Linked DNA regions of Oryzias latipes. The protein of the gene in region 2 interacts with the protein of the main gene of each other region in a pairwise test. Links are inferred from orthologs where the notes say so. Each region holds a gene or a part of one and is shown on either strand. Other genes may lie near its edges. The genes, in order: receptor-type tyrosine-protein phosphatase S and liprin-alpha-1.

Region 1 (15,921 bases), on a different chromosome or scaffold from region 2:
GGAAACATATCGGACCAGGAGCATCAATCGAGAGCAAAAGTGATGAAGACACTGAACATCCCCCTCCATCTAATTGATTTGTGACAATGACTAATTAAGCCTAGCGGGTGGTGTTGTGATCCGCTGTTTGCAAACGTCATTCATCACAGCAGGGGGGGAGGAACAGGCTTGTCTGATGCTGTTTATGTGTAAGTGAGTGGTGTGTGCGATTCCACAGAACCGTGAGGAGGAGGGCACGCTTGTTGTAGTTGTTGCTGTAATCAGAGGAAACATGTAAGCTGATTGTTGGTGCCAGCAACTGGCTGGTGGGACTTTTTCAGTCAACATGAGACATTCTTTTCCACTTTTGTAGACACGAGATCATGTGTTGGTAGACAAAGTTTCACAACTGCATTAATGCTGTTTTTCAAATTAAATTAAACATTACTGATAGATTAATATATCAAATATGAACTGAAGACATGCTGTCAGGAAATATGCTGCAGTACCCAGGCCCGCCACACAGTGATCCCTCTGCATGTTTGATTAACTGGAGCTTTAAGTTGTTTTTGCACATAGAGGTCATAGTAGCTGTCAAACAAACAGCTCCAACACGGGTAATCAAAATGCCAACTCTGTCAGTCACGTACAAAAACCTTGCAGTAAAAGTAAAAAAAATATTAGATAATTAGAAACTCCGTCTGAACAGCAAATAAAAGATCAAAAGCTCTTTATTAATAATTATTAACAAAAGTAAGTAAGTCTCACTGAGGCAGAGGCATAACTGAAAGGTAGAGGGGCAACTGCTAACACTTCACATTACTGTATCATTTATTAATGTTAATGTATGATTAAGCATTATTTAACTCACAAATAATGTGTTAACAGACACTCTGATGGATTATTTTGCATTAGCAAGTGTATTATTTAATGCATTTAGGCATCAAATAGCAATTCAATTATGTTTATTATTCAACTTTACTTAATGCATAAGAAAGCACTAATTAAAACTTTCCTGGGCAATTGTTTAGTGTTATGAATGCATCGACAATATATTAGTTAATGTATATGTAAAGTCTTAATGTCTAAAGTAATCATTTCTACTGTTTGCTTCCAACGACTGCAGTCGACTGGGTCTAAACAGGCTACAAAGTTTGGACCAACCAGAAAACTGTTTATGCAATTTGAACTACAGGTATTTTTGCAGAAATTGTTACCCGACTATAAAGAAATAAAGATGTTTAAAACTTGAATGGCTCCTTTGTTGCATTTAGTGTCAAAAGGAAGTATAGACAGTTCTGTCATAGCCAAGCAAGTCATTTTGCTAGTTAATGAACAGTCATTCAGACAAAGTTAAAGGTTATACAGTGGGGGAAAAAAGCTCAGTTTTGTTGTTGTAAAGGAAAAGAGCATCAGGAAGATTTATACAAGTTACATGAACTACTTCCAAATGCAAATAAATGAAGTATTTTCTCCGCAGTAACAGCAGATAATAATAATCACCAGCTATGCACTAGAGAACAAGTCACTCATTTACGTATTAGAATTGACTGCAATTTCATGTAAAACCAACATGCGTCAAGTTTACTGTCAAGCCGGATTAACTGAAAAAAGTTCAAGCCTTTGTTCCAAAAACTATTCTTCCTTTCCTTGGATAAACATTAAATTATAATTCTGTGTGGCAAATGTGCATTTTGCACCTCGAACTTCAGCACCTTGACGCTCAGAATTATGGTGCAGCAGATTCCTATTATTCCTTGGTAAGCAAATCCTCCATGATAACCATCATGACATCATGTTGCAGCACCATCACCTTATTTCTGTATGCAATGTCCTCATTCTAGCTGTGGCCGACTGAGTCTGATTTTATCGGAGGCGGCCGCGGTGCAGTGGCACGGCAGTCAACCTCTGATAGGAATATTGCTGGTTCGATTCCCTCTTTGCCCGCCCATGTTTTTGAAGCGTCTTTGTGCAAGACACCTAACCCCCCCTTGCCTCTGTGACTGGATCCTTCTCTCCAGTCATTGTGTCATACAGTCACTGTCACTGTAAAGCCCTTTGGGCCTTCGAGGAAGGTAGACAAGCGCCATACAAGCACACGCCATTTTACTGTGTAAAAACTGGATGGAATGACCCCTCCCCCCCTCGCGATCCAAACAGGAAGATCCTGTTGGAATGTGGTCTCACATCGAACGTTCAAAATATCTGAAAGATTCTCCAGAGTCCGCTATCAAGTGATAGGGGTGTGGACTTCCAACAAGCTCACTCCTGACTGGCAAGAGTGATTACCATTGAAATGCTGACTTGAGCCGTCTCGGACAAATCAAAGCTTACTGACAATTTCTGGTTCCAATATAGGGGAATCTGTATTGCAAAAAAAGTCTAATGCATTCACTTAATTTCGTTGTAGCTAGAAGCAATTCATTTCTACGGGTGACGTCACTCTGACTCGGTCCGGCTCTTATATACAGTCAATGGCGATAATAAAATTTAACTAACACAACACTAAAAGATGACCAAAACAACAAGCTTAAATACGCTGATGCTCGATGCTCAAAATCACTAAAAATATAAACTCCCACAATGCCCCTTGTCCACTGCTTGTGTTGAAATACATAGGGTTATTTTAATTTTATAAATAAAAGTCAAAAGTTTGCACTCAACTGCACATTCTTATTCGAAAATCAAATTCCTTCCACTTTTCCTTACTTATAATTTCTGTTGCAGGGTGATGCTAATTGCTGGAATTGTCCTTTTAAAAAAAAGTGTATTTACTGGCTGCTGGTTTGCATTTATGGGATGATTGCTAATTGCTATGGTTTGCCATTTTATAGACTGTGGATCCGATGGAAGGTTAAAATAAAACTGACAAAAAGTGAGGGGAAAAAAATAGCTTGGTTGGAGATAAACTATGGAGATCCATTGAGCTGCATTGCTTTATTACTTTGGACTCCTATGCCAATTAAACTCATGGCTTCAAAGGAGACAATGACAAAACCAGACACTCTGCCTCAAGGAGTTTCAGACTATCATTGTGAGGCTGTCACAGCACTTACAGGCTTTAAAGCACAAACATTCACACATGTGCTCACAGTGTAAATACACACACTCTGCTCATTGGTACCCCATTTAAAGTGTAATTCCTGTTTCTCAGCACCACGGGTCACCGAGCTCACATAGCCGAAGCAGCATATGCTCTGCTGGATTGAAAAGGGCTTGGATAACTGAACTGGGAGTATGCTCATTTGAACAATGGCTCGCTATTAGCTGATGGGGATATTCAGAAATGCTCACCGGCCCAGTAAATTGGGCTAAAATGTCTGTTCTAATTAAATTCTTGGGGTGTGAAGTTAACAACAGCACCCAGTTCTGTGCAACAATGACAGAGTTTAAAAATAGTGTTCATATTTTAAGTATTCTTTTCCAAGTATACTGATGAGTATTAAAATAAAGGACTTAAAGGATCATCATAAAGATTTTTACTATTCAAAGATGAGAGAGATCCTTCAGAATCATTGATACCTCTTCTCAAAAGTAAAGGGGAACAGAATGGTTAAAAGAAGATCAACATCCTTTGTCTACGTGAGTTTAAGCATCCTCCTTTCAACACAGCATCTCTTCTTTCACATAAAGAAGTCTGTTTTTCCCAAAGACGCAAACTCGAGACAGATCGCAGCTTGACTCCCAGAGAAGCTGAACAGAAATGCTCTATTTTGAAAACGCAGTCTTTTGATGGTGCAGAGACTGACCGTGTATGACAGATGGATAGCTGAAAGAAATCTAGGCTAGGCTACAGCAGGGTAAGAGTAAAAAAAAAATGAACAGAATGTTTTTTGCCACCTCTGGAGCTTATTCTCCTTTTCTATAAGTTTGCCTCAATGGAGGGGAAACAAATCTGAACAAAAATGACAAGTTTCTCAAGATTTGGATGCATCTCTTGTAGTGAAGTGAACAAAACTTAAAAATGATTCCTGTTTTCCACAACTAGGCCAAATGCTAAAATGTGAGATATTTACATATTTATAATTCATGGTTTGTAGCTGGTCATGAAAATGTGGAATAAAAAACAAAACAAAGAAAACAAAACTTGAATTGTCTGATATGTGCTTTTTGATGAAACAAAACAAAGTGTAGCTACTGAAGCCAAACTGCACAAGGCCTGTGAGCACAGACAGTCTGAGCGAGAAATGCTTCTGCAAGATCTTAGATGAGCTGGAGCCATGGAGGCCCCGCAGAACGCGGACATGATGTAACATGTTGCGTCGCTAACATCAGATAAAGTTTGGACAAACATCAGAGAGATAGAAAAGAGAAACATGGATGTCTGTAAACCCTGGAGAACAAGCATACTCGGTTTTCAGGCCAACACAAGACTTAGTTTCAAGCATACAGTTATTTGTCGATAGTGAATTGATACATAGAGATATGGAAATGAATTAAGTATAGCCTGCAGGCAACAAAAAAAACATCCAGCAAAATAATGTGAATGTGGCTGCTTTTTGACTTTGTGTGTCAGCTTATGGCTCTTTTATACTCCCCTACATGAATATCCTGTCTAATTTGCATTTTCTAGCTTTATATAACAATGAAAAATCTAGTATCAAGAGGGAGAGTTTTTATTTTTGTCTTCTATAGCTTTGTAATTTAGGGCATTAAATTACAACTTTAAATTTGCTATTGTATAACATAATAATGTATTAAACACCACATGAGATTTTTGCAAATTCTTGTCTTAAACACAATTACAGATTGAAAAACGCATTTTTGAGCGTGTGACTTACCTGGAGTTTGGAAGTTGATGCGTCTCACCTCCACAGGGTCTGTAGGGTGATGGGGTGTAATGTCTGCATTGTTGAGCAGGCATTTGGTGCGAGGCTCCGACTCTTTTCTTTTGTGGCTGGACGGTAACACGAACAAAAGAGGCGGAAAGTGGGGGAGACGCACAACAAAAACGACAGAATTTGATTGGTGAGCAATGAATGTACAGAAACCAAAACAGAAAAACACTCTCTAATCTGTGATGTGAGAAACTGGTAATACTGCATATTAAAAAAGACGCAACAAAGTAGAGTTTGTAAAGAAAGTACAAAAAAAACAAAACAATCCTATTTACTAAATCACCCTTTAAAAAACCTCATCTTTTTTGAGACAGGCTAATTTGTCCTCTCGTGTAAATGACACTGAGTCTAAGTAGCACTGTGCCTTACCTGTCTGGTTTGCTGTTTCCAGAGAAAGCAACAGGAGTCAAATAAATATATAAAGATGATAAAAACACAACACACAAGGAGAAAGGGAGAAGGGGAGGCAAGAAGAAGTACAAATCAATAGAGAGCAGTTTAAAATTTACAGGGGTCACTGCTGGGCTTGCAAAAAGCCAGAAAAGGCTCATCAGTATGTACAACACTGGGTCAGAATGAGTAAGTTCTCAATGAAATGCGCAGTTAAGGGCGTCGACACATGAGCGTGTGTATGTACATCTAAGTGTGGACGCACAAGTTTTCAGACACGGGCAGGACAGGGAACATCAGGGCCACAAACAGACCCGGGACATAATATTCATCGGGATGGGGAGGGGTGGAAATGTAAGATGGACAGAAAAAGAAGAGAGAAAAAAAGAGACAGATCCAAGGAGAGATGTTACACTCCCCAAACGCTAAAACGACAGTTAGGTAAGGTCACAGAACAAGGGATAATCTGAAAATAGAGCACTGGACTTGTGCAATTTTTGGCAAGTTATAATATTGCAGGGAATTCCCTTTCTGGTGATTGAGGACTGAGTTAATAAGATTCAAGAAAATGCATTGCTTTTTTTCCTGACTAACCTAACTGTAGTGTATAAACACAAATAGTTCTCTTTAAAGAATCTCTGCATGAGCACATGAAAAAAAGATCTGGTCCTTATCAGGTATTCAATCAGGTTAATACAACCTCACAGAACAGACAGACACAAAATGACAGATATCAAATTGTCTTGACTGATTCTTGGTATGGTTTCCTCTGAAAAAAATTATTGGGTTGGTCAACATTCCCAAGGTGCAATGATTTTAATTTGTTGTGCTGTTGAAACACAGAGATTGCTCATGGACTATTTCAAAATCCAGATCACAACCGCACAGAGTCGACTCTGAGAGCTGATTTTAAAAGAAATTCATTGAAACTTAACTGTTGAAAGAAAGGATGTGGAAGAAAATGAGTAAAAGTCTTTAAATAACAGTTATGCTACATTCACACCATGCATGTGACGCCCATCCAAGAATGCACCAAACGTGCATTCTTGGATGCACATTTAGCCCATGGGGCTCATGCTAAACAACCAGGGAGGGGCATCTTTTTATTCTTTTTTCGATTCATAACTAACATTGTGTCATAATTCAGAATATAATTTAAACGTATTCTTCTCACCTTCAAAGCTCTCCATAACCTGGCCCCACCTTCTTTATATGATCTTTTCCATATCTACACTCCCTCGTGCTCTCTCCAGTCTTCTTCTCTGAAGCTCTCTGTACCCCCCCATCCAACTGGTCACCATAGGGAGCAGAACCTTCACCCACTTGGCACCCCAACTGTGGAACTCTCTCCCCCTGGACCTCCGTATCATTTACTCGTTACCTATCTTTAAATACAGACTCAAACCCACCCAGGCGCTTTATAATAAAAAATAAAATGGATTATTATAATTACAGCTGGGCAAAAACTGCAGTTATTAATTTCTCCTCCATGCTCAATCTTCACTTTTGTGAATTAAAAGGGACACTTACACGTCACTTCCAAATCCGGGTTCCTGATTAGTCAAAAGTTAACTTGGTTTAACTGTCAACGTACATTCAATTGAAATGCATTTTGTATGTTCAGCCCAAAAAGGATCGTAGAAACTTGTGTAGCGAAGCATGAACACGAGAGTTTTTAACATGAAAGTTAAAAAAAAACATTTAAGGGGATTTATATAGACTTTTCATTGGAAGTGGTTGCTTGAACGATCGTTGCAGAGGGCAGTGTAAATATAAATTTAGAGTGCACATTTACTAAATTTCAGGACTTGTTAAGGACCAAATAACTTTTTTTCCATCATCTGAGGTGCATAAAAACCTTAGAATCTTCTTTTTTTAGGTTTCTTAACTCTTCAAGCTCCTGTCTTGACATTCTTTGGACTATTGTAACCCTTTGACTGTTTAACCAATGAACGCAATGGATTCTGATTCAGAATCCATTGGAATTACATTAATTCCATAAACGATCAAAGATTTATGGTAGTTCAAAAAGCGTGTTATTTAGGTGTCCCTGACAGTATCTCTGGTGTTAAAGAGTTAAAACAAATTTACCAACTATAGAGAAATGTTCAATTCCAATGATTCAGGAATGGTATTCGGCAACACTGAAATACTCTTAGACACTATGCTTCAATAAGCTATTATTGCAAATCATCCCACAGAATCTCATCTCTTCTTTTTCCAACCAGCTCACTACCGTGATGAACTCTCCTCTACATTCCAACTTTGTCATACTTCCATGCAAAAAAGTACTTGGGTCCTTAAGAATTCCATGCTGGAATTAATAAAAAGATTTGCCCCTGTTCTGACATGCATCCTGACATGCAATGATGTTCCAGTTTATGACTGTTCATCATCAAACACGATGGGAAAAAGATGTTTTCCCACTAAATGACGGGAAACATATTCTATAAAACAGTTTCTTTTTTTTTTTGGAATGCAGAATGAACTCATATAAATTCCAGTTTATATGAGTTTTAGTGAAGCCTGACAGCTGCCTTCTATCATTTGAGGCTGAACAGTCTCACATTTACATTCTGGAGTCTGAATGTTGCCTAAAACATTGCACACAGCAAAAACTCACTTCTTATAAAGGAGGATGGCACTGACAATGCAGATAATAAAGACCACAGCCAAAACGGGGCCCACCACCCATAGCTGGGTTTCATCATGCTCTGCTGGCAGATCCACCACCAGCTCGGGGCTCATCACCGTGTCAGTGTAGGGGCTTGTTGCAAACATTTTCTAGAAGAAGAAAAAATAACACGTTTACAATCATTGCACATTTGGTAACATCTACATGTTCTGCTTGGAAAACCAACACGCCGGCAGTCCTATGAAAGTCACTTTGACATTTTCAACCAAAAATACCAACCAGTAGTTGTACTAGGACCTTTTGAACTCACAATTATTACTCAAAATTAGGTGTTCACAATTTTGTTAAAAAAATATTTGTATGACTAAAGTTGAAGCAGAATACATCAAAACTGGAAAAAAAAAAATGGTGAAATTTACTGATTGCAAGGGGAGACTGATTGGATCCAAAACTCACCCCTGCGGTGGCATTGAGTTCAGCCAGCAGGAAGAAGACATGCTGCTGACCAGGTTCGAGGGGCTTGTTCTCACAGCTGTTGTGGCGATTGTCAGATCCCACTATGAAGCTGAGGGGCAGCTGTTTGAAGCACGCTGTGATGTAGGCATCCCTCTGGTCTAGCTGAGCCAGCTGCCGGCGTGAGCGGTGCTTCGGGACCACCCGCAAAAGCTGCTCAACATGCAGAGGTTTAATTGGTTTCCCAATGCATCCAGTTTTGTATATTCAATCCAATATGTATCTTTTTTTAAACTGTACAAACAGATCTAGAAAATCTAACAAATTTTCCCATGATTCAAAGAAATATGTTTAGCATTTGTAAATCAAACAAAATGGCAAAAATAAACCCTTTAACAGCGGCGCTTTAGCTGCAGTGTTGACATTCCTTTAACAACTGTAACTTGTCAACCGCTTATGCAATTAAGGTAATTCCAGCGGATTCTGAAGCTGAAAAGAGAAGCCTTTTACTACTTTACAGAGGTAAAGTGTTTACATTATATCATTTAGCTGGTTTTGTTGCAGAGAAAAGGGACTTTGTTTTGTCTGCGATACAACCGGCTGCTTTACGTTGACCGCATAAACAGTCTAAGATTTCTAGTCTACTCTTTTTTTTTTTCTTTTTTGCATGATAAAAGAAGCTCTTGCTTTCATGTAAAAATGCACAAGTTGTACTGTCACAGTCAGCAGCCCTTTCCCCAAAGTGCTATGTGGTAGGATTAAGTGTTATAAGTTATTGTTGAACATGTTTACTTGAGGGTCTAAGGGAGGTGAAAAGAGCTTGAAGCCTTTCGGTGCACTGTTTGAGATCAAAGGGAAAAAAACTGGCTTTAAAAAGCTGCCTAATATGGGAAAAAAAGAACACAAAACACACACACACATCCAAGCCCGCACACTTAGTTCCAACTACAGACAGAGGCAACCGCTAAGTAGAGAGGATGTGTGTAATCCCAAATTTAACAGGGGGGGGGGGGGGGTGGTTGCCGTGCTGATCTGCAGCTCAAGGCTGCAGACCCCAAGCTATGGGAAGAGTGGATATGGACTGTAATGCTCTCTTCTGCATGCTTTTGGGGATACATTTGCATTAGCTGTGATGTCTGAGCTGCATGTGCACATTCTAGTACAGGCTGTTCACAATACAGCTGGGAAACACAAACAGAATCCCTCCCTGAAAATTCTTCCTGTTACTCCATCTATGAGTTGTATTCATTTTGATCACCCTATGTCCACAAGTGTACCTAGATTTTGCTCTCACCTCTTCCATGTCCATCTCATCAGGGTTTATCAGGTTTTTAACGGTTCCTGAATTTGTCCTAATTGGCACCACAACCACATAGAAGTTCCTGAAATGAAGCGCCAAAGGAGTTAGACAAAAAAAAGAAGCTTGATTTGAAGCTCAGCAACACAAAATAAAATACTTTTAACCAAAACAACTACTTCTTCTGACACTTCAATATAATTTAAACAGAACAGCAGAGGCCAAATAAAGGGTTCCCTCGTTATATTACAGATCATCTTTTGCAGTCTTTCTGTTTTGCGCAACTTTGTAAGCTTTTTTTTCCTTAAACAATGCACTGTGATCTGCGTCCTGATTGGCTGTTGCTATTGTCAATCAATCTCTCCCATGCAGCTTGCCAGAGTTACACAAATATTAATCCTGGTCATTCTATAACACTGGAGAGTTTTTTTCTTCAAACATTTCATCTTTGAGAGTTTAAACAAGACAGTAAAGTGGGAAAATATTTACGTGTATAAAGTGTGTACTAAGGGGCGTTCCTGCCTTAAAACATCTGTAATTCTACTTCCTGGATTTCACGTATCACGAGTTATTTACATAATGTATCCCCCGCGATAAATAAGAGAACACTGTGTCTCAATACTCACTTGACATCCTTTGTGTTTACTGGTGAGAAGGACATCATGAGCACATTCTCTCTCTCAGAAACCGTGGGCTTCTTGATTTGAAGAAGCGGAGCGGTTCTGGCTGTCACACGATGCTGTGGCCCACTATTGGTGCTTTCTTGGCAAGTCACTTTAAACTCATAAGTGGTGTTATGCCTTAGCCCTTTAATGAAGGCCTTCAACTCCCGGGCGTCCACATCTTTCTTCTGGTGGGCATACTCGATCTGGAATTTAGAAGTTTGTCAGTCTTAAAATTCAAAATACAGCTCAACTTCTCAAGAGATTGTTTTTCTGAAACACTTAACTCACCACACATTTATACGGCGACCTTTCAGAAAACTTCCACCCAAGCACTACTGTGGTCTTGGTGGCCCACTTCACAGTGAAGTTTTTAGGAACATCTGTTAAGAAGACAAACAAAAAAACAAAAAAAAAGAGCGCATTTTATTAGCAAAACCAGATCAAGGAAAACAAAAAGGAAGAACCTTTGGTTTAAAAAGTTAATTCCTCTTGTCTTGCAACGTTCCCCCTAGTTTGAAGAGTGAGCACATTAATGAATTGTGATTAGCTGTGAGACAGGCAATGCTATTGGTTAAAACACATAGCACGCAAGACTCATGGACGAAAAACCCATTGAGCACAAGGGTGTGCCCTTTGGCTAGCCATTGTAGACAGTGCCAAACCATTTCACCACTCACTTAGACCACTCGATGATTAGCAACTGAGCCACGTATTTCCAATGACCGCCAACTGTTTTTACACTGGTGCAAAGTTTGACTTGGCACTGCCAACGTGCAGCCACACAGGCAACAAGACAGACCCAGAACAAAGCATGCCAAATGTTCTCTGCAGTGCATCTGTGGGATACCATGCCACAAGCTGTCCTGTAGCAGGATGGGGGGGGGACGGGACGGAAAGGAAGCCTCTGGAGGGGACAGGAATAATGTCTCAAAATAAACAAAAACAAATAAATAAATAAATCAAATCAAATCAAAAATCAGACTTCTGCTTTACCAGAATGGCTATACTCTTGGAGTGACTAAGCTCCTACCTTGTTTGAAAACTGGGGCTGTGGGATTGCATTAGCTGCACGACTGCGCTTCAAAAAGCGCTGCAAGGACTGACAGGAGTGACTTAACTGCACTTACCTTAAAATTCTAGGCTGACCTCCAAAATTGACTGACTATAACTTACTGACTTACAGTTTTACCTGTTTTAGGTTAGTGAAGTGAGTGTCCAACAGCAAACAGGTTAAACATCAATCTTCATTCTTTTAAAAGGAGGTGGAGGTGTTTGGAAGAGTGGAAGGGGCGGTTTTCATTTTTGTGTTGTTGCAGATTGTTCTTAGCCTACTTCCAACCCCCTGCCACTGGGATTGGAAAGAAACAGGCAAGCCCTACCTGCTGGGTGAATGGCCACCGTCCGATACTGGATAGGTGGGCTGTAGGGCCCTGGACCTACACTGGTGTGCGCTCGCATTTTCACCTCATAGGCAGAGTTTGGTTTGAGGCTGTTCAGCACATAGCTGGACAGGCTTGGATGCAAGCGCAGTTCTCGTGGTATTTCTCCAGTGCCGGCTTCCTTATAGACCAAAGTGTATTCCGTAATGACTCCATTCCTCTCTGCCAACACCGGTGGAGACCAGGACAGCAGCACAGAGCAGCATGTTACATTAGAGCCTTCTTTAATTTGAGGGTATCCACCCGGCGTATTCTCAGGTACGCTAAGTTCTGCCACGGCTTCTTCCCCGAAGCCTCCTCTGCTCTTGGCTGCCATCTTGAAGAGGTACGTGGCTCCCCGATGAATGTTGTCCACAGAGTACCGACGTTCTTGCGGAGCAAATTCCAGTGTGGCCAAAGGGGTGATGTCCTTTCGGCCAAACTGGAGCCTGTAACCCTGCAGATCCATGCCATTGGTCAGGTCTGGAGGGTCCCAGTGAACAACAGCAGATGTCTTTGAGTTCTGAGCCACCGAGAGATAAGGAGGACCAGGCACTGTACAGAAACAAACAAAAAAACAACATTTTTATTTATTTCCATGTATAAGAATGCAGAATGCTTTTAAATCAATGATATAACCATTAAAAGGACGTATACATTTCATCAAAATAACTTTGATCTTTCCTAACCCATCATTCCTTTGCAACATGAAGGTTTTGTAGTTGCATTTTTAAAAAGGCACTTTGGCTCAAAATGGGTCAAGCTACAAACCTGCAGTTTATTCTTTGAGATTATTTAATCATGGTCATCACTGGCATGCATGAAATTTTAACAAAGGTATGTGGTGCTTGATTTTAATAAATCCATAAGCTAGCAAAGAGATGATGCTTTTGCATGGAGATATGGATGATCCAATTGATTCTGTTATCATTTCAACACATTCTAGATCCATCCAAAGTCCCTCGGCTCCACTGAGCATCACTTAAAGTTTAGGAAAAACAGTGCATCTTTCAGTTGCAGGCAGGTCTTGTTGCAAAATGGATGATCTACCCGTAGGGCCCAGTCTCCATTCTTCAGAGTGGCCCCATTTTGCCACTCTTAAAGATGACACACGTTTCATCTGAACCCGCCTTTTGAGGTCTCATCACAGAGATATCAGCAAAGAGAAGCTCTCAATTCTCAATTGACTGTCAGAAGCTTTCAGAGAGATGTGTGTCGCTGATTTACTTTTGAGCATCATATCATCATAAACAGATTATATTTTTTAACTCCCTGTCTGACGCATCTCTTTCCTCGGAAATAACCATAGCAGCAGAACAAATACATGGCGGTGTCTGAATGTGGCTGCGGAAAATTTTCTATTTCTCTCAATAGCATTTAAGGACGGTCTTCTTTGTGTTTATGTTTGCACCCCGAATCTCACTACTCCATTATTTTGAATAGTTCTTACACTTGCCATTATGTAACATCATCATTATTTGTTCTATGCAAATGGAAATGGAAAAATAAAAGCCATTAAAAGTTTTTAGTCATTTGGGGCTCTTGATTGAACTTCGGGATCTGTTAATGGATGAGCAGCATAGCAAAAGTCATAAAAGGTTTATTTCTTTTAGCTTTGTGAATTTAATTTATTGATAATCTAAATGTGTCACTCTGATAGTTGCAAAGACAGGGTTTACAGAAAACTGTCTTTATTCAAATTTAAAGCATGAATGGAATCAAACAAATGAAAATGGGGAAAAAAATAAAAACGGCCTTCCTCTGACCGCCTGTGTGCATCCTATGTGAGAAACAACAGCTTTGGGGGACTATTGTGCACAGTATTTACATGTGCAACAGCAGTTTGTGCACATCTAGACCCGAGTGTGCAGCCATCTTCATCCTCTATATTGCCGTTCCAGATGTACACAGAGCAATTTGGCTTGTTGCCCGGCATGGACTTAAAGTAATTTGAAGAGGCCAACATTCGTCTCAGGCAATAAGACTCTGCCTCTATGGAAGAGTGTCATGGTGTCAGTGAATGTGTGCATGCAGCAAAACCCACACACACCACAGTATACACTCCACCAACCACATCCTCATCCCTTCGTTTTTAATTTCTGTTTGCTAATGGTCTGAAGATGAGGGGAGATGGTGGTTTGTCTGCTCACTTTTTTCACTAAGTGTATTGAAAGGAATGGAAGAATCCTCCCAGGACTTTTGGCTCATAGATTTCATCTCAGTGTGGTTTAAAAGCTCACTCTGCCATCATCTCCCACTGTTAATCACGGAAATAAAAATCTGTGAATGTGACCGAGTCATTCCGTGAGTGTATTCCCACCTCTGTGCTTCACTTTTAAAATGAGCAGGAAAAAGGTAGAAGTGGAAAACCAGTGAATCCACAGGATGATTATAGGAGAGCCAGGGCATGGTGAGTGGATGAACAACAAGTGGATGAGGGATGATGAAGGTGACAAAAGGACAGGGGGCAATCAGCCACAAGGAGAGACCAAACGGGGATATGAGTAGCCTGATCTATATGTGTGGGACTTTGTGCGTTCACATGATCAAAAAAAAAAAAAAAAAAAGATTTTCTGGTCACCTTGATTCTTCTTCCATTTTTCCAACCCTGCTGTTCTTTTGTAAACCCACCCAATATGTCTATTTCAGGGTCGACCCCAGTTCAATCCGTCTTTGACTGACTCTCGGCACGTTTCCCATCAGGCTATAGTATTAAGAGCTTGCTGTTGACATAGACTTGCCTGCCGGAGACCAAGGTGATTTCATTTATTTATTTATTTTTTTCTTGTAACTTCCACTGATGTACACTCATAAAATATATCCAATAGATTAAAAAAAGCCCTATCTGTATGTGCAAAATTAAAAACAAAAGCCCTATCTGTATGTGCAAAATTAAAAACAAGGAAAACTAGATGCTGAAACTTTGTGTGCCAAATTTAACCAAAGAAAGATCACTCAAACATTTAACTGTGGTTACAGCTAGCCAATAGGGACTTAAAAAACAGATAAAAGACAAGAAAAAAATGTGTGAGAATGAAAGATAAATCTAGTAACAGTCCACCTTCTTTATTACTGAAAACTTTTTTATAGAGCCTCCTAGCTAGAAATATAGTGAGGAAGTCTAATGAATAGCTTGAAATGGTACAAAATAAATTGCAACCTGCCAGCAAATAACTGTTTTAAGTAGTTAGGGTTACCAAAAACAATTTTGCAGCGCTGGAATGCACTGTGGTACCAAACCCTTATGTGTTTCAGTTGAACTTATATACTAGTGCTGAAAGTCAAGGTGTCAGTGAGTACAGTTCCCTTTACCATCAAAAGGTGCTTTGAAACTGGGTGAAACCTTGACAGGAAGAGGTCTGGCAGACACAAAGTCATAACTGAATAAAATAACAGGTTTCTGAAACTTTATTTATGCTTGGTAGGTGGCTCATAGGCCAACAGACTGAAGCACATCCTAACTGTAGTCCTTGTAAAATACCTTCAGCTTTTTCTGTCAACAGAAGAAGACTTCAAGCTGCAGACTTGATAGGAAAAATTGCAGAAAGAAATGAAGATGGCACAAAAAAAAAAAAAAAAAGGCTAGCCTGGAACAGGACCCACCACCATCAAACAACTAAAAACTGGAAGAAAGCGTTAAGGGCTGATGAATCAAAATGTAAAATCTTTGGTTCATCATATAAAATCTTTGTACCCAGTTGAATAAGCAAAAGGATGACCCTTAAGTGTGTGATATCAACTGTCAAACATAGAGGAAGAAGTGTAATGATATGGGGTTGTTCAGTTGAATCTTTGGCTAGTGTCTTCTATAGTGTAAAAGAGTACCCTGAACCAACATGGCTACCACGGCATTATGCAATGCCACCAAATCCCTCTGGTATGCAGCTACTTAGTTGGGGGTTCATCATGTAAGATAATTATCCAAAAGATAAATCCATGCTGTGCCAGAACTACATGAGGATAAAAGAACAGGATGGAAAACGTCAAAATATGGAATGGCTGGAACAATCTCAAGAGTTGAATGTCATTAAACTGGTTTGAGATGAACTAAAAAGAGGAAAAAAGTAAACAAATCTACAAGACCACATAGGTAGTTCTACAGGAAACTGTAGGTATTTTCTAAGAAATTTAACATCTGTTGTAAAGAAAATGTCCCGACTATGTTTAGCTGTGTAAATGTAAAACGTGTCTCCTTTTTGTATCTGAAGTTTAAGGTACATTTTGGTTTGGTACATAAAAAAATCTT
Region 2 (15,921 bases):
GATTAGCCTGCCTTTCCAGACAAACCAAGGAGCAGCGAGTGCAAGCGCAGGCAGGCCTCACCCTCGGATGTCTCTTATGTCTTCATGGCTGGAGGCGTGGCCTGTCTCCCTGTTCAGGCGCATGGAGCGAGGAGTGGTGGGAGGCGAGGTTTCACATCGAATCGTGGCTTTGTCGTCCTGAGAGGACTGAGCAATGGCAGAAAAAACAAGAAACAGGTTCAGGTTCAGTGTTTCCATCACAGCTGAAGAACACGTGACATCAACACAGAGAGCACCAGAACAGAACTATGAAAACAAACCAGAACAAAAAAAGTCACCTACGGTTTGAAAAGATGGGATGTTATTTTCCCCTATAAGGACAGAAGACCCACTTTGAAGACCCACTCCAATGAAAATGTTTTTGTAGCGTTTTTCCTCATGCCGGAGGATATGAGTAAAAGAATTTGATTAAAACTGCATTTCTGAGTATTGAATCAGCAGCAGACCAAAAAAGCAGCTTGAAAAAGCTGAAACAGGCGGGGCCAGAGCCTCCCTGCTCCGCTGGAGTCCCATGCATCCACTATCAGACACACATGTACGTCATCCGAGCGGGCAGAGGTCCGCCTCTCCTGATATCCCATCATTCCCTGTGAGCTAGTTGGCTCAAAAGTCTACAGCTGGATAGCTCTAATATTGGTAGCCTTTCTTTATGTACCACTTATGTTAGGGCTAGTGGTGTGAGGGGCTGTAAGCTAGCAAAGGGACGGTGGGACGTCCGCGTCGGCTGACGAGCGTCCGTTTCTGATGAACTCTGATGAACTTTAGCTCCAGCATTTACGTTCCTTCCAATACCGTAACTCGCATTCTGAAGAATTCTGACAGATTTAGAGGATTCACGTTGATCACGCTCATGTTTGAAAGGTTACAGAAGGTCAAAGAGCGTGTTATTCAGGGAAAGCAAAGTGTGGGTTCTCCTCTTAAGCGTTAAAGGAAGTCGCGCATCTCAGCTAACCGTACAAATGACCATACGATGGTGCCGCTCCCCCTGCCTGGACCCTAACCCAGCTTGAGCTAAAGACTGATGCATTCAATTTGCATTATATTCAGGTTGATAATGTGCGAGGAACAAGGAAATCCCACTTTTGCAAACGCCATTCAAAATGTACAAACTTTAAAACCAATATTTTTTCCCCACGATGCTTCCCAACAAAACTCAGGAGGTGAGGAGGTAACCGATCAGAATCCTTAGGAGAAGTTTCCACCTGGAGCTGGTATTAAAGGCAAGTTTTTGTTTTAAATAAAATTCAAGATGGCTTTTTCATTTTGGCGAGTATGTGGCAAAGGTTGTTTTATTTCTCAAAGGCTCCGTAAGAAAGAAAAATGGCAAAACAATCAGAGAGATATGAACCCAATCACGGTAATTCCTTCCTTACTATGTAGTCCACCATGTAGAGAGTAGGAACGCTACCAACCAAAGGTTGAGTAGTGAGTAGCGTTCCTACTCTCTACATGGTGGACTACATAGTGCGTTTGCCATTTTGTAGTGCTGTCTGAATCTATGGCTGTGTCCGTATTCCCGGCCTAACCCATAACTATAAAAAAAACTAGATAGTGGGGCACCATGTAGTGCCCTGGATTTTAAAAGCAATTCGGACGCCATGCTCACTAGTCGGCGGATACGACGTCATTGATTTCACAAAGGTAGAATCTAATTGAGATGAGCATCTTGTGACGATTATTTATGATGTTTTCTAAAAATAAAAATGTTTATGAGAAAAACTACATTTAAATACTTTTTGTTCCGACACAGTGCATTGTGGTCTATATAAACCGATCCAGTGAGCATCGATGAACGCTGGGACTTCTGGGAAATTTCCAGGGCTCTGGATTTTGGGATTTTGGATTTGGACAGCACTACAAAATGGCGAGTACACTATATGGTGTGTAGGGAAGGAATTGGGACACAACGTAAACTTGAAGAGTAGATGGGGGCGTCACAGGATGAACAGACTGTGGGGGTAAAAACATTTCACTCTGGTCTGCAGGCTGTTGTTGGTTTACCTTCCTGCGGTGCTTGCGCAAGTCACTAGGCTGACGAGAGGCAGAAAATGGAGAAAGGAGACAAAGCAGTTAGTGAGACGTCAGCAGAGGAACAAAGAACACAAACGCAGAGACACACCAAGAGACACACAAAGAGTTCGTTCCTAAAGCGTTCAGAGCTGCAGCACGTCACTCTGGAGGAGGAGGGATGGGTGCAGCCGGGTTCAAAAGACGGAGCTGGTCCGAAGGCCTGGAGGAGGAGCCTTCTCCAGTAAAACACCTGAAGGTTTGGTCTGTGCACAGAGGGGGGGGGGGGGGGGGGGGGGGGGTCTTTCCACCACATTCCTCACAAACCTGGCATTAGAGCACATAAAGCACCACATTTCCATGACTTTCTTTGCCTCAGGGGGGAAATACCCAATCAGTCGTTTCCTTCCCTCCACAGACGGAGGGGCCAGGCCGGGGAAGAGATTACACAGCTATAAAAGGAAACAGGAAGGAGAAACCCAGGAGGGAGCAAACATTCAGTTTAGGACTGAACTTGTGCTGCATTTCCCACTTTTTCCCTACAGGAATCACGGAGGGGGTTCACTTATTTTACTCAAATCCGCTGAGACGTACAACAGAGTCCTTATTAAAGACCAAAATCTGTAAACCTCACTTCTTTTATTTTTTTCCTTAAAACCAACATAAAAAAGGTCTTTCTGCTGCAGACAAACAGGCTGCTGAACTCCTGACCGTCACGAAGCAGAACAGACGGAGCAGCTTCAAACTCAAACGGATCATACGGGCAATCGGTGCACTTTTCCAAAAACAATCAGCCCCCAGGGCAGAGCTGCACTCCAGACACAAAGTATGCCAGCAGGGCGGCGCCGCAGCAGCCCGCTCATTCACACCATAAGTCTGTCTGCACATACAACACCACAGAAAAACAGACTTCTGTGTTCCATGTGACTCCTTTTCTACAGGTCCGTGTAATGGGGGCAAGCCTCTTTGCTGGTCAGAGGTGCAGCTCGCATGCTGGATTGTTTCAGACGTCTGATCACAAAGACATGCAGCTGCAGCCGTCTGCTCACAGAGACATGCAGCTGCAGCCGTCTGCTCACAGAGACATGCAGCTGCAGCCGTCTGCTTACAGAGACATGCAGCTGCAGCTGTCTGCTCACAGAGACATGCAGCTGCAGCCGTCTGCTCACAGAGACATGCAGCCGTCTGCTCACAGAGACATGCAGCCGTCTGCTCACAGAGACATGCAGCCGTCTGCTCACAGAGACATGCAGCCGTCTGCTCACAGAGACATGCAGCTGCAGCCGTCTGCTCACAGAGACATGCAGCTGCAGCCGTCTGCTCACAGAGACATGCAGCTGCAGACGGCTGCTCACAGAGACATGCAGCTGCAGACGGCTGCTCACAGATATATGCAGCTGTGCCGTCTGCTCACAGAGACATGCAGCTGCAGCCGTCTGCTCACAGAGACATGCAGCTGCAGCCGTCTGCTCACAGAGACATGCAGCTGCAGCAGTCTGCTCACAGACACATGCAGCTGCAGCCGTCTGCTCACAGAGACATGCAGCTGCAGCCGTCTGCTCACAGAGACATGCAGCTGCAGCCGTCTGCTCACAGAGACATGCAGCTGCAGCCGTCTGCTCACAGAGACATGCAGCTGCAGCCGTCTGCTCACAGAGACATGCAGCTGCAGCCGTCTGCTCACAGAGACATGCAGCCGTCTGCTCACAGAGACATGCAGCCGTCTGCTCACAGAGACTTGCAGCCGTCTGCTCACAGAGACATGCAGCTGCAGCCGTCTGCTCACAGAGACATGCAGCTGCAGCCGTCTGCTCACAGAGACATGCAGCTGCAGATGGCTGCTCACAGAGACATGCAGCTGCAGACGGCTGCTCACAGATATATGCAGCTGTGCCGTCTGCTCACAGAGACATGCAGCTGCAGCCGTCTGCTCACAGAGACATGCAGCTGCAGCAGTCTGCTCACAGAGACATGCAGCTGCAGCCGTCTGCTCACAGAGACATGCAGCTGCAGCAGTCTGCTCACAGACACATGCAGCTGCAGCCGTCTGCTCACAGAGACATGCAGCTGCAGCCGTCTGCTCACAGAGACATGCAGCTGCAGCCGTCTGCTCACAGAGACATGCAGCTGCAGCCGTCTGCTCACAGAGACATGCAGCTGCAGCCGTCTGCTCACAGAGACATGCAGCTGCAGCCGTCTGCTCACAGAGACATGCAGCTGCAGCCGTCTGCTCACAGAGACATGCAGCTGCAGCCGTCTGCTCACAGACGCATGCAGCTGCAGCAGTCTGGACGAAGCATGCAGGCCGTGTGTGTGCAGGATCACACTCCCTGCTTTCCTCAACACAACTCTTAACTTCTGCCTGTAATCACGCTGGAGCCAGAAAAGACCTGGTTAGTATCTGTGTTCAAAACCCTGACAGAAGGAGCCGTCACAGTCGATCCCTGTTCACACATGGATCCGCTCAGAAATAAAGGCTCAAAGTGCACCTCAATGAGAGGAAGCTTCAGATAAACCTGAGAGCTGCAAATGAAGATCCCTGTGAGCTTCTGCTATTCTGCCGTCAGAGGATGAGGGAAGGAATCCTTCAAACAAGTGTTGATGCAGGAGACTAAATGTCCGTCCTGACTCACAAAAGAGCCTCACGGCTCTAGAGTTATGACACGAACCTGGTGTCAGCTTAAGAATGAGAACGCCAATGGTTCAAAGATGCATACCTATGGCGTTCCATGGCTGCCATTAGTTGAACGAGCGCAAAGCCACGCAGGCGCAATGCTAACCGAGCGACCCCGCATTTTACAACTGCACTGTTGCCATCCTGACTGCGCGGCGCTCCTGTAAGCAGTGTTTAGGGGGCGTGTTTGGGCGGTAACCTCTCTGGTTGATCAGATTGGCCAGACGGCGGATGTAACGTGGATTAAAACATTAACCAACGGCCAAGAACAAGGTCAGGAAGTGCAGCGGGGCTGTTCTTGTTCACTGCGCGCAAACCCAGCGAGCGCCGGAGCGCCGCGCAGTCAGGTTTGCAGCCATGCAGTTGTAAAATGCGGGGTCACTCGGTTAGCATTGTGCTTATGTGGCTGTAAGGTTCCTCACTCAGCTCCTGAAAACACTCGCTCAGTTCTTTTTGCGGTCGTTCAACTAATGGTAGCCATGGAACGCCATACATAACTGCTGCTTTGTGGCAAAACAAATAAGAGGCAGCATCTTTGAGAATTTAAACTGACACTACAGACCTGAAAGCTCAAGCACACTCTGGCTGCTGCCTTCACACCCATAAACACAACATGTTGAGGCCTCAAATATTAAAGGAAGAACCACAACAAACTTACTATCAGGCCAGTCAGTATCTTTTTTATGTACACTGTTCCCTTATCTTAGTCGTCTTTTGTTTTTCTCAATTATTTCAGATGCTTTAAGGCTATAAAAGTCCTGACTACACATGTTCTCCACGTTTCTCAGACATTTTCACTCTCTTCTCTCTTGTTTAAATTCTCAAAGTTCAAACCTTGAATGAGTCCGGGATTATAGATTGAAAACAGTCAAAGATTTATGTAAATGTGGTCAACTGAATGTATTCTGTGCAGGAGACACGACAGGGAGAAGATTGATTCATCTACAGCCAATCAGGACGCAGAACCCAATGCGCCGTAAGAATAAAACCTTAAGTTTCACAGTGAGGCCATGAAAGGTGGACAGCGTCACAGAGAGGGAACTCTGAGACATAATGGAGGATTTTAGCAGGACCGTCTGAGGGAAAAGTTAATAATAAAAGCACAGTTCCTTTGAAGTTTTCCTTAATTGTTTGTGGCCGTTTGGCTCTTAAAGCTATGCAGACGTCTGGTTTGAATGAAGCCTCTTTGAAGACTCACTGTTCATTTGTCTGATCTGACGGAGGAGGATGGAGGAGAAAACACGCCTTCAATCTCGTAAAAAGGAGCAGAGGAGACAGGAAGAGACGGGGCTGCACCCACCCCGGGGGACTGGGGGGGGGGGGGGGGGTCTGCAGGTACCTGAGAGTGTGGGGCAAAGCCACAGGTGTTAGGCGGGGGGCTGAAGCCAGAGGCGCCATATGGCAAGTAAGTTAGTGTCTGCTGGGAGAGCCAGCTCTGCATGATGTAAGGGTCATAGCAATAATGCTGTGGGGCAGCGGGGGGCAGAATACACAGATGGTTACACATGCATGTTAATGCTAACAGCCCCAATGATTGGGGAGGGGGTGTTAACAGTCAGCATCTCTACTACATTTACAGAGCAGCTCAACTAGGAGGGGAAGGACAATACCAAGGTCATGACGCCCATCCGGTCCAGTTCTCTGTTGGGGCTGCGAGGAATGCGCCTGGGGGTGGAGTGACCCGAGCTGGGCGGCGAGCCGCCCAACGAGGAGCCGGCACACAGAGAGGGCGGGATGGAGCTCAGGGAGCGGAAGCGCCCTCCGATGCTGTCGCCGCTGCCCACCCTGCACTCGATCTCCTCTGCTCGGATGGCGGTGCTCTCCTTCTCCTCCTGGATCATCCTGCCAGCAGCAGAGGGAGGAGCTCAGTGCAGGTCTGCGTTCGGGGCGTGGTCGGCGCTGCAGGCGGCTGCTGGTACCTGATTTCATTGTTGATGGCATCCAGCTGCTCCTGCAGCATCAAGGCCAGCGTCTGTGCATCGGCCTGACCAGCAGGGGACAGCAGGTCCACAGAGTTGAACATCATCTCCCGGTCCTCCTCCAGGTCAGACACGTCCATGTCGCTCTCGAAGGCCTGCGCCACGTTAGCCAACACGTTCGCCTGCTGCATGCGCTCCCACTCCTGCTCGTTCAGCGTCTGCACCTGCAGCGCCGAGGACATGAGCACAGAACCCCGAGAAGGTCGTGAGTGGAGTGAAGCAGGAAGGATGCGAGAATGAAGAAGCGGAAGGACGAGAGTTTGAGATAAACGGGGCAGTAAATATTCAAGCACACAGGCCACAAGCACATGGACTTACATGTCGCTGGTGTCCACAGCGGAAGCAAACAGAAAGAAGCAGAGAAGAAGAAGAAGAAAACCATCAGAGAGCTCAAACATTGGAGGGAAACAGGAGAGACAACACAAAGGCTGTGACAAAGACCCCCCCTGCAGAAGAGCAGCTCTTCGCCACCAGTCACTTTCGTCGTGTTATCAGCTCAGGACAAACGCACACAGTATGTGACAGGAGCGTGTCAAAGCTCACCTTGGACGGCTCGTCTCGGAGCGCCACCATCCTCCCTTTCTGAGGTCGTCTCAGAACTAGAGCGCTGCCAAAGCTGTCGGAGTTGCCGTCCATCATGGAGGACGCAGACACTGGATACCTGAAATCTGGGGTGCTGCCCAGCTGAGAGCGCCTACAAACACACAAAACCAGAACACTAAGAAGGCGCCGCAGGCTTCATCGTGGAGTGAATGCTCTCCGTCGACTGGCTGACCCGTGGAGGGAGGAGTTGCTCCTGCCGATCTCATTCTCTGCTCTCATGGTCTCAATTTGGATGAGGAGCTGCTCCTAAGAGTTAAACACATTTCACAAACAAAGTCCTTATTTGGCAGAACCCATCTTCAACTGACAAACGTCATCAACCATGGTGGACGATGCTGCTGAGACCAGTCAGTGGAAGGGAAGCAGGTCACCGATTGGATTCATATTGGGGGTGACAGCTCTATTCAGGCCAAACTCAAGGGCTCTTATCGCAAACGGGCGGTTTTTGAAAAAACTCCCAGCGAAATGGCAGAGCGTGGTGTTGAAACTTTCCAGGGATGACTTTTTTTCCTTTCCGACCGTGGTCAGAAGCGCGGGGGACAGAAGGTGGATCCTCCTTCAGGGTTTACTTCCCCGTTTGGACCCTTAGATTCTCCAGAGTGGGTTAATAAAGAGTCAATAGTATTTATTCTGGGGGGAGCCTTCTTTTATTACCGTTCTCTTTCCTCCTAACACACAACATGACAGCATGGTTCAAGTCCCAGCTGGGGGACCTTTCTGTGTGGAGTTTGCATGATCTCCCCGTGCATGCGTGGGTTCTCTCCGGAGTCTCCGGCTTCCTCCCAAAAACATGCTTCATAGGTCAATTAGGAACTCTAAATTGTCCATAGGTGTGAGTGTGAGTGTGTGTGTGATTGTGGCCCTGCGACAAACTGGCGACTTGTCCAGGATGTCCCCTGCCTTCGCCCGTAAGTGGCCAGGATAGGCTCCAGCACCCCCGTGACCCCGAAAGGGAATAAACAGAGTGAGTGAGTGAGTGAGTGAGTGAGTGAGTGAGTGAGTGAGTGAGTGAGTGAGTGAGTGAGTGAGTGAGTGAGTGAGTGAGTGAGTGAGTGAGTGAGTGAGTGAGTGAGTGAGTGAGTGAGTGAGTGAGTGGTTTAATTGTGTTAATGTAGTCGGACAAATTCAAGCCAAAGCCTTTTATGTTTAGGTCAATTTCTTTCTTGTGTTCTTTTAGCTGCAGTTCTTTGTTTGTTCAGGGTTCTACTGGGGGACCCGGGTGGGTGGAGGGAGGAATCTGGTGAGGGAGGGGTCCCATCTGTGTGTGTGTCTGCGTTTTCTGTTATTAATTTTCATTATTTATGATTATTTTATCTGTTCTTATGTTAGCGCTTTGTGTTTTTAACTCAAATGAAAGGCGCTATATAAAGAAATTAACTTTGAGTTTAATTGTCCACTTTGAACTGTTGTTACTTTTCTTTCCATGATGCCAAAATGGTCACTTTGCTTTTGTAAAGGATAGAATTAACATGTTGTGTAACGTTTGAATGTTTAATTTGATTTATCTTTATTTTGATTGATGACAGGATAAAAGTAACATGTAACTTCAGAGTACATATGATTTAAAACTTTCATCAAATTAGAAACTTTGACACATTGTTGACATATTGTTTTTCCTGCTTTGTAAAATACTGATGGCTAATGTGAGCTATTTAAGAAGTGAAATAACTGGTTTGCTTTTTTTTCAACTGATTTCTCTATTCCTAGACCCTTTCTAAGTCAGGTTATTTTTTGTGTTGTGTCTGATCCTCAATTTGATGGTGAGCTACCCAACAACATGATCCTGAGATCCTGATACTAACACCTTCAAGTACGTCTCATCAGCTTCAGCAAACCCCTCAACTACATCACCACCAATAGATTTTTGGATCCAACTCAATAGGACTCAGACATGGTCCCTCTTTCCCTGTTTTGTACTGTTTAAATGTTTGTTAAAACCATTGATTGCATTTCACTTTCATCGCTGCCTTGGGCTCCCTGAGACGACTTGTTCTGTGTATTTTAACCTTCTGGTTCGTCAGTCTGTACCATATGCTTCTTCACTTGAGTGAGTTTGAACTTTTTCTTTCACGTGAATGGAAGAAAACCTTTGAATTTTTTTGGTTCTTTCAGCACACTGAAATGGTGATCCAATGCTTCACTGGCGTTGTTTCACACTCTGCTTAGGCCTCTTTGGAGGCGTTATAGATCAACACTTTTGGTTAAAAAGAAGCCAAAAATCAGACCGATTCTCAGCAGAGCTTTCCGTCTTCCTCAAAGGCCGGGTTTGCGTTCTTTTCATCAGTAAATCTGCACCTTGAGCTGTTAAATGAACGTACTGGCTGAGCTGTTGAAACATTGAGCTTTTTAATGATGTCAGTAAAACAGTTACAGTTACATTTATGATCTAAAGGGGGTTACAGTAATGAGCACATTTAACCTGACAACTACAAAACAGTCATGTTTTCATACCTTTTCGTGATGAGACTCTTCAATCAGCTTCTTCATGTGATCGAGTTCTCTAATCAGAGTGTTCTGAGGGAGACAGGTAGACGGTCAAACACTGAGGTCATTGCTTTGGCAGAGAGGACACCATTGACTGTATCAGAGTCCTGGACGGAGCGAGTGTGACGTCATCCACAGAAAGGCCTCACTTCCAACGCCAGCGCGGCCATCTTGGAGCCAGAGGGCAGTGATTGGTCAGTCCAGATTTCTAAAGCAACAACTGTCGCCTCTGTTTGAAGTCTCCCCTTCCACTGAAAGTGGCTCAGGGGGAACCTGGGGGTTAGCGGGAACCACGCGCTTTTACTGAGGCATCTGCTTTAATAACGAGAATAGGAGTGTATATAATATGAAAAAAAACATTAGGATTAGCAAGAAGATGTTAAAATAAAGGCATCCGAGCAGGAGTGGTTATTTTGGATTTTGGCTTCTTGGAACCAGCGGGTACTTCCTGTTTGGAACGGCAGGGGGGAGGGGTTGTTTTGTCCAGGTCTCAAATACAGTCAATGTTCAGAGCATGCTGTTGGCTCATCACCTTGTCCTCCAGAGCAGACATCCTCTCCTTCAGGTGCAGCTGCAGCCTCTCGTTGGATTCTGACAGCAGCTTGTCCACCGTCTCAGACAGACGCCGGTTGTGCTCCTCGTTCATCTTCTCCCGCTGACGCGCCTGTAAAAGCAAAATACGTCCTTTCTACCGTCCACACGCAAAACACGCGGCCACAGGAACTCCTCCAATGAGCTCACCCGCAGCAGCTCCTGGTTCTTCTCCTCCAGTTGGGCCTCCAGTTGCCTGAGTCTCTCCTCCACGTTACCATGGCGCTCCTCTGCCTGCACACAGATGATCGCAGCTTTGTTTTTGGTAATATGGCGTTCCAGGGTCGGAACATGAAATCGTCACAGACCTGGCTTACAAAATTCGGCCATCTTTGTGAGAATGTAAACTTCAGCTGAGAGTTTACAGCAAAGAGAGGAGGTGAAGCTTCTCCCCCCACAGAGCTATGCTACACTAATTTATTCAGCTCATTCCGTAAATAATCAAATGACTAAAACTAACGTGTTTTTAAAAAACAAAAGAGAAAGAAATGATGGAACAGTAAAATAATCCAATCCTCCTCAGAACTAAAGGTTATGCTGAACTTGAAAACCAGGCATAAGGAGTTTCTATGAAAGGCTGCTATGAAATAGTTCTTTCAGGATTTATTTGTTTTGTTTACTTTGCACAGGATGGTGTTTTATTTTTAATTAACCGAGTAGTGGGCCCTTTGGGGCCGGCTATCCATAAGCCTCTTCCTGTTTATGTCAGACCCTGAAAGGAAGAGTCTCCTGTGGCTGTAAAAAGAGGAAGGCAGTGGCAGCAGGAGGCATCAAAAGAGCAAACACACCTGTGTTCACTACAATGGAAGGTAACGCGTTCATGGACTTCATCAATGACGTCCTCCCTAACTTTGATGCTTTCAGGAATGGAGTCATGAAGCAAACTACAAATGTACACGGACAAAACCTCCAGGCTAATATGGCAGGTTTTCTGTCAGCTTGATCTCCATAGCAACCGTTTCATGCGGGGGGGGGTCTATGTAATTTTTTAGGAAAATTGGTAAAACAACATTTTACGATTCCCTTGACAGAGATTTCTGCTAACCACACCCACATTTCTAATACGTTAATATCTTCTGTCATATAGTTTTGTTCGGCTTGAGCCAACGACTCGTGTCTTACATATGAAGTAATAATAAGTATTAGGGGAATAAATGCCACTTTTGGAAAAGTCTACAAACTTTAAAACCACCTTTTATTTTCTTTACTTTTCCCCCCCAGGTAGCTTCCCAACGATGCTCGGGGAGTAATGGCAACCATTTCCAGAGGTCAAAGGTCAACGAAACTTTTGTTGTTGTGAACTTAACCTGGTGCTGTGTGTGTTTTCTTTCCCATATTGTGTTAAAATTGACAATTGAAATTTCAGACTTTGCCACAAAACGGTAGTGCAGCCGTAGGTCCTGTGGCCATCCCATAATAATGTCAAACTTCATTTGGATATGCCTGGCGTGTGTCTTTTGCTTGCCTTAGTGGATTTTGAAATATTTTTTAGCCTTATAAGAGATTTTGGCCTCGTTCGTTTTGCTGACGGTTCTCCTGCTGTGATGTCATCTTCTCATTTATTTATCTCGTGTGGTGTGTTCTTGAACGTGCATATGGTGTTCACACTAGACTGACACTATGCAATACTATGGCATGTACTCACGGTGAGAAGAGGCTTGGTGTGGAATGTCAAAGCGGTGAAAATATTGTGAATCTTGCCTCCAGGCCTTTCATTTCACAGCTTTTATTTATTTATTTTTTTGGAAAATCGCCATAGAACTCCAGCCGGGCACAAACCGCAATCATTAATTTCTCCTCAGCTCTCAATTTTCAGCCAATTTGTACTTCTGTGTTTTGAAAAGGATGCTATCCATACGTCACTACCAAAGCCAGATTCCTGATTTTTCAAACGGGTTTACTTTTCACAGTGTGTTCAGTTGTGGCGCGTTGTGTACGTAGAGCCTGAAAACGGACTTAAAAACTTGCATAGCAGTGTGTGAATGCCAGTTTTGACCGCAGAAGCCCAAAACGTGCATTAACGTGTGTTTACATGGGCTTTTCATTGGAGTCAGTCGCTCGAACGGACGTTTCTGAGCCCGGTGTGGACGCAGCACCAGAGAACATCAGGTCATCTGCTCACCAGACACACTGGAGAAAAAACTTGTCTTCAATAGAAAACCAGAGAAAGCTGATTCTATTTAACAAAGTGATCAACTAAAGCCTCTATAGAGCACTGGTACATCAGAAGAGGAAAAATATGCTCTTAAGAACGGATGGGTATAATATTCACACTGTCAGAACCCCAGCTTCCTTCTGATGGACAGGTGCTGGTACCTTTGTGAGGGCGGCGACCCTCTGCGCCAACTCCGCTTCCACCTCAGGCAGAGTCTCCGCCTTGCGAATGGTCTGTTGCAGTTTCTGTTCAGCCAGTTCCAGCTTCTCCTGGAGCTGCCGGTTTCTTTCCTCAGCCTAGTGGAGAAAAAAAAGAATAAAGGGTGGGGTGACAAAAGGATACGGAAGATGGGGTGAAGAACGGGGGGAGGGTGGAGTGGGCAGGAAAAGGGAAAAAAGAGGCCATTTAAGATGCCACAAAGAAGAATGATGAAAAGAACTGAAGGAAGGCCTCTGCAGACAGCAGAACAGGCCCGTGTCTTCAAGGCCTTCCGTTCAGAGGCCGCTGTGCCGAAGAGTCTGAATGCAGCAAGAATTCACTAGAATCACCCTAAGACCTGCAGCTGAGATCTGTAGACTCAAACATCAACATCCCCAGAAAGGGCAGAAAGGGCTATGAGCTAGAATATCTAGACTAGGTATTTGATCGGTATTGAATGGACTGCTGGTTCCTCTTTGAGGAGTTCTGGGCTGGAGTTCAGGACATACTTGTCTGAACAGAGACTCCTTGTTGGCCACTTCATTTTCCAGCTTGTCGTTGAGGTCGTGGACAGATGTGGCCTCCCGCTGAGCTGCCAGGTAGCGCTTCTCCAGCGTGGTGATCCTCTCCTCCATGTCCTCCTTCTGCGCCATTGACTGATCACAGAAACATTCACATGTGTGAACTCGCATCAGCAGCAGCACCGCCAACAGCGTGCATTCCTGTCACTCTGCTACGGGTCTCCAGAACACAGATTCAAGCTAGAACACATTGATAAGGTTTTCCTGGCTTTGGAGCCGCATACGGACCTCTCTGAGGTCTCTCTGCAGGCGGGTGCTCATGTCTTCCGACTTGATGAGGTCTTTTCTGGCCGTGTCCAGGTCCTCCTCCAGCTCACTGATTCGGGAAACCATAGCAGCCATGCGCTCCTTCATCTGGCCCAAATCAGCGGCCTGGCGGTCCACCACCTCTTGGAGATCTCCTGCCTTCCCAAAGGCAGAGCCCGACTCCTCTTCTTGGCTCAGCGAGCCATCGGATGATCGCTGAAAAAGGGCAGATCTGATTAATTGAACGACGACTGTTTGACCTGCTGCCTCGTTACATTTCTGTCTTCCAGCTGGTCACACTTTTACTTATTGCTTTGTGTTTGTTGTTGCCTTAGCCTTCTATGTCTCTGTAAGGAGCATGAAAGCTGCTGTATCTCAGGCATCATGAACCGGACAACAGTTTAGATCACGGGGCCCCAAATCCAGGCCTCGAGGGCCGGTGTCCTTTTCCAAGCAACCAGCCATCGAAGCTCCTTATTGGCTAAACACACCTGATCCAGGTAATCGGCAGCAAATAAGGCAAGTTTCTGGAAAAGCAGCAGGACCCCGGCCCTCCAGGCCTGGATTTGGGGACCCCTGAAATCGTTTGAACTTAAGAAAGCCAGCAGTGATGGAGTCACCGAACAATTATGCTGCTGCGTTTCAACACTACATCAATGAGCACCACAAACCCGGCAGAACCCAGTCTAGAGTCACGGGGTAAGCAGAGGCAAATGGGACAGCTGTCACACTGCACCACAGCATTTGTGAGACGGTTGAGAAACAGCCCTTGAGAGCAACTCTGTCCCTTTAAAACATTGTGATAAATGCTTCTGGCTGCCACCAGTGGTCGTGGGTCTGCTGTGCCCATGTCCCGGTAGCACAGTGGGGAACTCACCTTTCCATTGGTGCTGGGGGCGTTCTCAAAGTTGTGGTTGACCTCAATCGTTCCGTCAGCCAGCCCTCTTTTCTGACTGCTTTGCTCTCTGAGATAAGACAACTGGACAAAAAACAGAAACGGCATCAGCGTGTGGCAGACTCATCCTTCTAGATAAACCAATCGTAATGTCCAGAATCAAAGCGTGACTAATTAAGTTGGTTTGGATAAAATGCAGTTTGAGTGCGTTTGTCTACAGAAGCATCCAACGTCTGTGAAGCACCGACCCTAAAACGGGCTGTGGTCAAACCCAATCAAGAGATCTTTAACCTTTCAGTTTCCTTTGGAGGGTTAGTTTAGACTGTGAGGCAGCTACGCACCTGTGTGTGTGTGTGTGTGTGTGTGTGTGTGTGTGTGTGTGTGTGTGTGTGTGTGTGTGTGCTGAATCTAAGAAGAGAGGATGACTAAACCACAAAACGCTTCAGAGGAAAGCAAAGAACAAATGTAGGTCAAATCTATCAGACATCCCTTAGGCCTTTAGGCAATTTTAATCCCATTCAACAAACCAACGGCGCATGAGGTGCACGCACACGCACACACACATGATCGGCTCTCCTTATTAGGGCATAACAATGATTCAGTTTTATTCTGCATAGCCTACATTTTTCTGCATTCCAGTCATATAAAATTAAAATTTCTTACAAATATTGTGACATACAGCATTTTGGGTCCCATCGCACACTCCAACCACTACATCGGCTTACACTTTATGCCTTAGTCACATGCACACATTCAGGTGCTGCAGGTTCATGGACGGTTCTTTTATCTACCAGCCAAGTTGGCTGGTAAATTAAAAAAAATAAAGAAAAATTCTACCAGCCAACTGATTTCATTATGTTACAAAGAAAAACTATAAGTGTTATCTTTAAAAAATGATATGTTGAATACAATTAGAGAGGAAGTCACACATAAAAACAACTGTTTTTTCTATGGAACAAATGAGTCGTTTGTGTTTTCCTGCTGAAAAATGCCCCCATGAGAAGAGGGGATCAGTCCGTCACCTGAAGTCTGAACCAAAGATTCAAAGCTGCTGAGAAAACAAGGACAGATTTACTGAAGGGGAGCAGACTGACAGAAAAAAAATCACCTTTTCCTGATTCTGCCTCCAGTGGATTCATTTCAACATCAAATCAGAAGAGAAACAGAATAAAAACAGGATCATGTTCTGGATTCTACTCATTGACGGTAAAGTTGTTCTCACGAGGGGGGGGTCTTTTTTCAGCTCAACGCTGGGCTCTGTAATGTTACAAGAGCCAGCAGAAAGTGTCTGTTATTATATTTATAAAATACAGTTTTTATTAATGTTCTATGAATTCTTTTTGTGGCATTTATCCTCCACGTCTTAAAGTTCGCTCTGTGAAAATATGGTCTGACTTTAAACCGGTCCGTGATCAGATGTAGGCGACACACAGCAATAAAGCATCTGAGTATTTTAGCATGATAGCATG

Evidence for each region.
Region 1: the proteins of liprin-alpha-1 (region 2) and receptor-type tyrosine-protein phosphatase S interact in a two-hybrid assay, tested with the Homo sapiens proteins (2 studies listed by BioGRID). The link is inferred for Oryzias latipes from reciprocal best matches to the Homo sapiens genes PPFIA1 and PTPRS.

Annotation. Positions count from the first base shown.
Region 1 is NC_019862.2:11,069,866-11,085,786, reverse strand, and holds part of receptor-type tyrosine-protein phosphatase S, read right to left. Parts: intron 12,231-15,921; coding exon 11,637-12,230; intron 10,638-11,636; coding exon 10,546-10,637; intron 10,461-10,545; coding exon 10,219-10,460; intron 9,678-10,218; coding exon 9,590-9,677; intron 8,509-9,589; coding exon 8,299-8,508; intron 7,992-8,298; coding exon 7,831-7,991; intron 5,199-7,830; coding exon 5,187-5,198; intron 4,877-5,186; coding exon 4,761-4,876; intron 1-4,760. UniProt on the Homo sapiens protein: Cell surface receptor that binds to glycosaminoglycans, including chondroitin sulfate proteoglycans and heparan sulfate proteoglycan.
Region 2 is NC_019861.2:2,124,917-2,140,837, reverse strand, and holds part of liprin-alpha-1, read right to left. Parts: intron 14,537-15,921; coding exon 14,435-14,536; intron 13,774-14,434; coding exon 13,540-13,773; intron 13,387-13,539; coding exon 13,240-13,386; intron 12,829-13,239; coding exon 12,694-12,828; intron 10,612-12,693; coding exon 10,528-10,611; intron 10,451-10,527; coding exon 10,319-10,450; intron 9,817-10,318; coding exon 9,754-9,816; intron 7,549-9,753; coding exon 7,475-7,548; intron 7,394-7,474; coding exon 7,243-7,393; intron 7,024-7,242; coding exon 7,018-7,023; intron 6,864-7,017; coding exon 6,640-6,863; intron 6,563-6,639; coding exon 6,331-6,562; intron 2,071-6,330; coding exon 2,041-2,070; intron 187-2,040; coding exon 62-186; intron 1-61. UniProt on the Homo sapiens protein: May regulate the disassembly of focal adhesions. May localize receptor-like tyrosine phosphatases type 2A at specific sites on the plasma membrane, possibly regulating their interaction with the extracellular environment and their association with substrates.